2 linked regions of the Astyanax mexicanus genome follow. The protein of the gene in region 1 interacts with the protein of each later gene in a biochemical or structural test. Links are inferred from orthologs where the notes say so. Each region holds a gene or a part of one and is shown in the gene's direction. Other genes may lie near its edges.

Region 1 (3,755 bases):
TTACATTAACTAATATTCACATTAATAAATCATTAAACTAGGGGACAATACTTACTCCTGTTACTGTCACTCTTTTTACTGGAACTCACTCCTGTTAATGGCACTCTTTCCATTACTGCCTCTCACTACTGTTATAGGCAAATTAATATGATTGAGTTTTTGTATAGAATTAGCAAAAACATTCTAGTGACTTTCCCAAAATTTGTATTTTAAAAATAATCAAATAAGATCCAAGAATAATTTAGGTAACAGGAATGAGTGTTGAGATTGACCTCCTCAGTAATGGAATGTTAGAATGTTACAGATGTTTCAGAAGGGGAAATGTATTACGGTAACAGGAATGAGTGAAAACCAAGGACACAACTAAAATGTGTATTTTAACTTAAATATTTTGGATTATTATTGAAAAAAAATATTTTTAAAGCATAGATGGGATTTGGTTAAACACAACAATGCAAAAAATTACATCTCTGAAGCATTTTAATAATTAAAGTTTATAGTTAGAGAGTGAGGGACAGGTAACAAATGCTATTTTTCTGTGTCCGAAGTAGTTTTTATTAATGGTTTTAATTAAATATATTACTTTTGGAATTAGGTCAATGTACAATACACTATGCTCAATAATGAAATGTATTTATACATGTCATTTCCTGGGGACAGAAATGGCACTGATTTGGCGGAATATTCCAAATTTGTGTTTACAAACTGAATTTTTGTGTCGGCGGTGACATAAAAAATTCGCCCTCCTGACTGGCAGTTTTCTGCTGGACTGTTTTCTAATACATATCCCCACAGTATCAATGCAGTTTATCATAGTGCCAGTATTTTAACCCCACCTCAATTCAGATAAAGTCCCGCCTCTTGTGTTCTGCCATTGGCTGATAGTAAGTTGCCTTTGGCGTTCGGATTGGTTACTAGTTCATACACAAGCTGGAAAGGCGGTCTTTTTGTGTGTGTAAACTATTGACCAATCCTGAAGCAAGAGATATGAGACTGCTAGCCAATCAGAGGTGAGGAGGGCGGGATTTTCAGAAATACGGGTGGGAAAGAGTCGTCGCGGGGTCTGGATCCTCCTGCTTGTTCCTCGGTCAGTAGAGGAGTCTCGCTGAGTTGGCTCGTGTCTCCGGGTGGAAGACAACAGGAAAACGGGCTGTTTTTGATGGTAAAGACTCAGAGGAGAGCCTGTGAAGTGAGTTTGTGTCTCAGAGCAGGGAACGGAGATTTCGTGGACGCTTTTCTGAGCCACTTTCCCTCAGTTCTGAAGGAACTAGTGCAGGAACAGTTTTGTGGGTGAGGAGGAGGAGAAGGAGGAGCAGCGAGCTGCGGACGGGAGGAGGCCGTGTTCAAGGTAACGTTAGCGAACATTTTCTTTAAAAGCTTCTCAGCAGCGGTTAGGAGGAAAAGCCACCATGTTACCGGTAACTTTACTCGGGATTAAAGTTACTTTTAGCGCAGTTTTAACGCTGGGAAGACGTTATTGGGACCTGACGAAAGAAACACACATTCCCCTTGCTAGTTAACTTATTAAACAGGTTATTTAGTTAGCGTTAGGTTTGTTGTATGGTATGTTAATTTACATTAGCTGAAAGTGTGGTGAATTTCTTGGCTGTGTTTTTTTCTGTTTCTGGATGAAAAAAAATGTTTTGAGTCTGTGGTTAGCTTGTTTTGCGGTTGTGTGGCAGTTAATTTGTATTCTTTTTTATCACTGTTGTTTGACAAATATTTAGTTAGTTAAGGCTAGCTAATTTAGCTGTAGCTAAGCTACATAACACATCCACGCTAGGAAACGCTAGTTGCTAAGGGGAGCCCAGTAACACTGCTGTAGTTGGAGCAGTTACAACACCGGCTAGGTGGCTACACATTACTTTAGCCTGCTGTTTCCCTTCCAGACACCTCCATACTAACCAGATACAGGCTCATATCATCATGTCTGTTGAGCGAAGTTGTGTATTACTGTTTAGAGGGTGACTGCGTCCCTACCTATAACTGAAAAAGTATTAACGTTCAAAAATTGAAAAAAAATGAAAAATAAAAATGCTGTTTCTTTCTGTAATGCACAAAAAAGAAGATTATAATATGCTATTATAAAATGTATATATATATATCAAATAATCCAATTAACAAAATTGTTTTTTTTTTATTTGTATTGCAATGTGTGAAATACTTTATATATATATATATATATATATATATGGCTTCTTTTTCATAAACTATCACTAAACAGTAAAATCAGTACAAATCAACTGTTACTTTCCCCCAGTGGCTACTGTGTTTCCAGTGCAGTGGACGGGGCCAGGCTACTGTTTTAATTGGTTTATAAACTTGTTAATTGGCTGATTTGTGGCCTATTCTGGTGGACAACAGCTTTTAAATAGTCATTATGTGCAACACAACATTTAAAAATAAAGAAAATACATAATGTTCTTTGTAATGGATGCTGGCTCTGAAAGTGGATGCAGGCTCTGAAAGTTTTAAAACATTATTTTTAACAGTCTTAAATGGGCCATTAAGATTCTGCAGTGTTCCTCTAGTACCGTATATAACTAAAAGCTAGCTAGCTACAAAACATCATATATTCAGTCCCACAAAATCTATTTTAGTTACAAAATGTACATACAAAACATTATCCAAATCCCCAGTTAAAAGTCAGTTTAAAGTTATTAGTAATATCATTTCAGTTTTCACACATTCACAAGTATGGAAGATTAAAATTCATGTATCATTTACTGGGTAAGCTATGTCCCATAATATCCCAATTAATGTTCTTCTTATTTTCAGGTCTCAGCTAGCTACTTTATGCAAACTGCACATTGTTTAACTACTTTTCACTTCAGGTACAAATATTATCTAATGTCATATTTCTCGGTATTATTCATATTTGATTACATGCTATTTATTATATATATTTTTAACAAATACGTTTTTTTTTACAAAGTTAGTCCCAGGCATCCCACAGCCAACAACTGATATGTCATATTAAACTTGCTTTAAAAAAAAAAAAATACAAGATATAACGTGTACTAAATTGTGTTTAAGCTGTTGGAGGAACAGTGGGGAAAAAGATGAGAAACCATAGTGGTTGCACCGTAGTTTAGCTACATAAGCTAGTTAGCTAAACTAAGCTAGCTATCTAGTATTGAGCTAGGTTATCCAACTTCTAATCTGGCGTTAATGTTTAAAATCCTGCAGAGAACCAGACACGCACTTTTTAAAATACTAGAAAAGAACAAGATCTTCTTAGTGGCTCTTCTAAAGATGTTTTATGTGTATATTAAAAAGGTCTGAGCTGGTTTAAAGCTGTGTCCCAGTTGCTGATACCGTTTGTTGTGTTCGTAGTATTCGTCCTTAGTAGTTCAGGCACGTAGACTCTCTCCTCTTGAACGAAGCGAGTGGGGCGATAAAAGCGCTGCCAGCTCGTTTCAGTGCCTTCATTTCTCTATCCAGTCCGCCTATACTTTTACTAACGTTCCCCTGGTTCTTGTGGAAGGTTAGAACATGATACTTTACACGGCTCATTGTTCTTTGTTAATGTGGTTTGTGTTTTGTCTTGGGACGGACTGGGAGTCCCTGTACTGCATTCGTGTCAGTTTGCTGTTCCTACTTGTCTCTGTGATATTAGTATGCACAAGAAAGCTGTATGTACTGATGTTTGTGGATACCGGCTCATTCAACGTTTCTTTATGAATTTCTTTATGAAAAAAAAAAAGTATTTTAATGGGAATATTTTGTCCCTTTGCTGCCGGAAAGGCTTTAAA
Region 2 (3,755 bases), on another chromosome or scaffold:
ATTGCTTAACATTAAGAAACATAGAAAAGAGAAGCAAAACAGGAATTAGAAACAGAATTACAATATAGTAATAAAGAAAATAAATTGGTGTTACATGGTAGAAGTAAGTGCAGCAGATGTAAAAGTATGGTGGGACTGTAATCATTAGTTCAGACATTTTATTTGTTGGTATGAAAAGGTTTGGCCACCCCGGATAATTTTCCTGATTTTATTTTATAAATCATTGGTTGTTCAGATCAGAAATTTCAGTTAAATATATCATATAGCAGATGAACACAGTGATATTTGAGACGTGAAATTAAGTTTATAGGATTTACAGAAAGTGTGCACCACTTAGTATCCATTGCTCACCACATAGTATCTGGTGCTCACCACAGTATCTGGTGCTCAACACTTAGTATGTGATTCTAGACACTTGGTATTCAGTGCTCATCACTTAGTATCTGGTGCTCACCACTTACTATCTGGTAGTCACCACATAGAATCCAGTGTTCACCACTAATATGTGGTGCTAAGTACTTACTATCTGGTGCTCACTACATAGTATCTGGTTCTCATGATTCTGTATGTGACGCTTAGTATCTGGTGTTCAACACTTAGTATGTGGTTCTAGCCACCACATAGTATCCGGTGCTCACCACATAAAATCCAGTGCTCACCAGTCGGTATGTGGTGCTTTGTATGTGGTTCTAGCCACTTAGTATTTGGTGCTAACCACTCAGTATGAGGTGCTGAGTACATGGTGCTCAATACTTAGTATGTGGTTCTAGCCACATAGTATCTGGTGCTCACCACTCGGTATGTGGTGCTTAGTACGTGGTGGTCAAAACGTATGTGGTTTTAGCCACTTAGTATCCGGTGCTCACCACATAGTATCCAGTGCTCATCACTTATTATCTGGTGCTCACCACTTACTATCTGGTACTCACCACATAGTATCCGGTGCTCACCCCTCGGTATGTGGTTCTAGCCACTTAGTATTTGGTGCTAACCACTCAGTATGAGGTGCTTAGTACATGGTGCTCAACACTTAGTATGTGGTTCTAGCCACATAGTATCTGGTGCTCACCACTCGGTATGTGGTGCTAAGTACTTAATATCTGGTGCTCACTACATAGTATCTGGTTCTCATGATTCTGTATGTGACGCTTAGTACATGGTGCTCAATGCTTAGTATGTGGTTCTAGCCACATAGTATCTGGTGCTCACCAGTCGGTATGTGGTGCTTAGTATGTGGTGGTCAAAACTTATGTGGTTCTAGCCACATAGTATCCAGTGCTCATCACTTAATATCCGGTGCTCACTACATAGTATCTGGTGCTCACCACATAGTATCTGGTGCTCACCACTTAGTATGTGGTACTCACCACTTTTTTCCTCTTATAAATACACGGTTTCTCTGCAGGGGCTCAGTACAGAGCACACAGTCTCACAGAGGGTATTATCTGAGTGAGTGAGTCTCAGGGCTCCATGTATTATTATTGTTTTTGTCCGGGCTCTGGCTGAACGTCACTTCCTGTTTGTGGCCGTGTGAAGAGCCGCTCGGTGAGTGGAGCAGCGCGCGGGGTTTCAGCGCGATTATTACTAATATTAATAATTACTAATATCCAGTAACCTCGCAACAAACACGTTTAATCAGCGGGGATTCTGTACCGGTAATCCGCCACCCGCTAGCGGAGATCCCGGCCGGGGGCCGGGCGAAGCGCAGTGTTAGCTTTAGCATTAGCATTAGCTCTGTGCCTGTGTGCGCGGTGAAGTTAGGGTTAGTTAGCTTAGCATGCTAACAGGCCGTGGTGTGGACTGTGCCGTACTGAAACCGGTGTAAACGGATTATTTCGGTGTATAGTTGTTCGTTATTTGCTTAGTTTAACGGCAAAGGTTGTTTTTGAGCTGTGTAAACTACTATAGTATGCAAATTTAGTGTTTGGCTCAATTTCTCAAGCTTCTTGTTCGAACTCTCCGTTCCACCTTAAATAGTGCAGCAGCTGCGTTCAGTTGCCTGAGGCACCATTTAAGGTGGAATGGAGAGTTGGAACTGGCAAGCGAATTTGAAGCGAACTTTAGTAACAATTTTAGTTATAACCTGTTAAACACGTTTTGATATGTACTGAAGTCATTTTCTGCTTTATCTCAAGCATTTATAGCTTATAAGTCATGTTTTTCTGCACTACACCTCTTCAGAAAGTCTTCCACTAACCTGAGCTTCAACGATTAGTCAAGAATGTCGACATAGTCCGCAGTGTTGATTTAGCTATGAACATTTTATTCATATTTTTATTAAGTATTTAGTATTTTTTTTTTTACTTTAAAGCTTTTAAAATCTGTTTATTATCCCTTTTTGTCTATACACATTTTCAGGACGTCATCCACTAGTTAGGACTGCAGTGATAAGTCGACATTATCAACAATCTTGGTTATAAAAACACATTCTTATTTTTATAAGATTTCAAGTCATGTTTTTCTGCTTTTACACTTCTTCAGAACGTCATTCACTAGCTAACCTGGGCAGCAACGATTAGTCGACATAGCCCACAGTGTTGATTAGCTATAAACATTAAAGTTGTATTTTCATTAAAGTCATTTTATACGTTAATGATTGTAAATAATTTTAATATTCTTTTTTTGTTTATACACTTTTCTAGAACGACATTCACTAGTTGCGACTGCAGTGATAAGTTGATATAATGGACAGTGTTGACTATAAAAAAACATTCTTGTTTTTGTGATTTTATACCTTGAATCAAGCATTTGAAGCTTTTAAAGTTATGTTTTTCTGATTTTACACTTCTTTAGAACATTATCTACTAGTTAGAGATGCAGTGATTAGTCGAAGTTATCGACAATGTTGATTTTAAAAAACGTATTCTTACTTTTATGTCATTTTGTACTTTAAGGCTTTTTAATTATTTCAATATCCGTTTTTGGTTATACATTTTTTTCAGAATATCATCCACTAGTTAGGACTGCATTGATTAGCCTACATAATCGACAGTGTTGATTCTACAAACGTATTCTTATTTTTACTCATTTTATACTTTTAATCAAACATTTAAAGCTTTAAATTCATGTTTTTCTGCTTTTACACTTCTTCACAACGTCATCCTCTAACTAAACTGGGCTGCAAAGATTATTCGACATAGTCCATTTAGTTCTTGTTAAAGTCAAATTTTAAATAATTTCAATATCATTTCAATGTTCTTGTTATACACTTTTTCAGAACGCCATCTGCTAGTTAGGACTGCAGTGAAACACGTATTCTTATTTTTATTTGTCCTTTTTTTTACTTTAAATCAAGCATTTAAAACTTTCAAGTTATGTTTTTCAACTTCTACATTCCTTCAGAACGACATCCATCAATGGCTGCAATAGTTGACATTGTCAACAGGTTGACATTGTTTAGGTTCTGCCTTTTAGGTTTGTCTGTTAATGTTGTAAAATTCTAATTGTGGTCCAATTGGGTTTAGTTTCAATCTGTACTGTTTAGAAATATTTATGTATCACCTTTTGGATTATTGGATTATAATACCATACTTTCCTTGTTGGTGTGTCCCAGCCAAACTTCACAGCTAATGTTGATGGGAGTATTCAGGCAAGAGGCTGTCAGTCAGGTAGAACGTAAACCTAAGTGCATTTGTGCTAAAAATCTTTTTTTTTATTTTTTTTTAAGTTCAACTTCTTTAAAGCTTTTATAGCCTTTAATCTTATGTTTCTGCTTTACACTGATCTATCATCTGTCAAAAACTGTGTAAACACAC

The links.
Region 2: the proteins of sh3rf1 (region 1) and akt2 form a complex in vitro, tested with the Homo sapiens proteins (2 studies listed by BioGRID and IntAct, with this or other methods). The link is inferred for Astyanax mexicanus from reciprocal best matches to the Homo sapiens genes SH3RF1 and AKT2.

Annotation. Positions count from the first base shown.
Region 1 is NC_064408.1:51,217,593-51,221,347, reverse strand, and holds the start of sh3rf1 (E3 ubiquitin-protein ligase SH3RF1), read left to right. Parts: upstream 1-1,057; 5' UTR 1,058-1,348; intron 1,349-3,755. UniProt on the Homo sapiens protein: Has E3 ubiquitin-protein ligase activity. In the absence of an external substrate, it can catalyze self-ubiquitination. Stimulates ubiquitination of potassium channel KCNJ1, enhancing it's dynamin-dependent and clathrin-independent endocytosis.
Region 2 is NC_064416.1:9,373,724-9,377,478, reverse strand, and holds the start of akt2 (RAC-beta serine/threonine-protein kinase), read left to right. Parts: upstream 1-1,447; 5' UTR 1,448-1,545; intron 1,546-3,755. UniProt on the Homo sapiens protein: Serine/threonine kinase closely related to AKT1 and AKT3. All 3 enzymes, AKT1, AKT2 and AKT3, are collectively known as AKT kinase.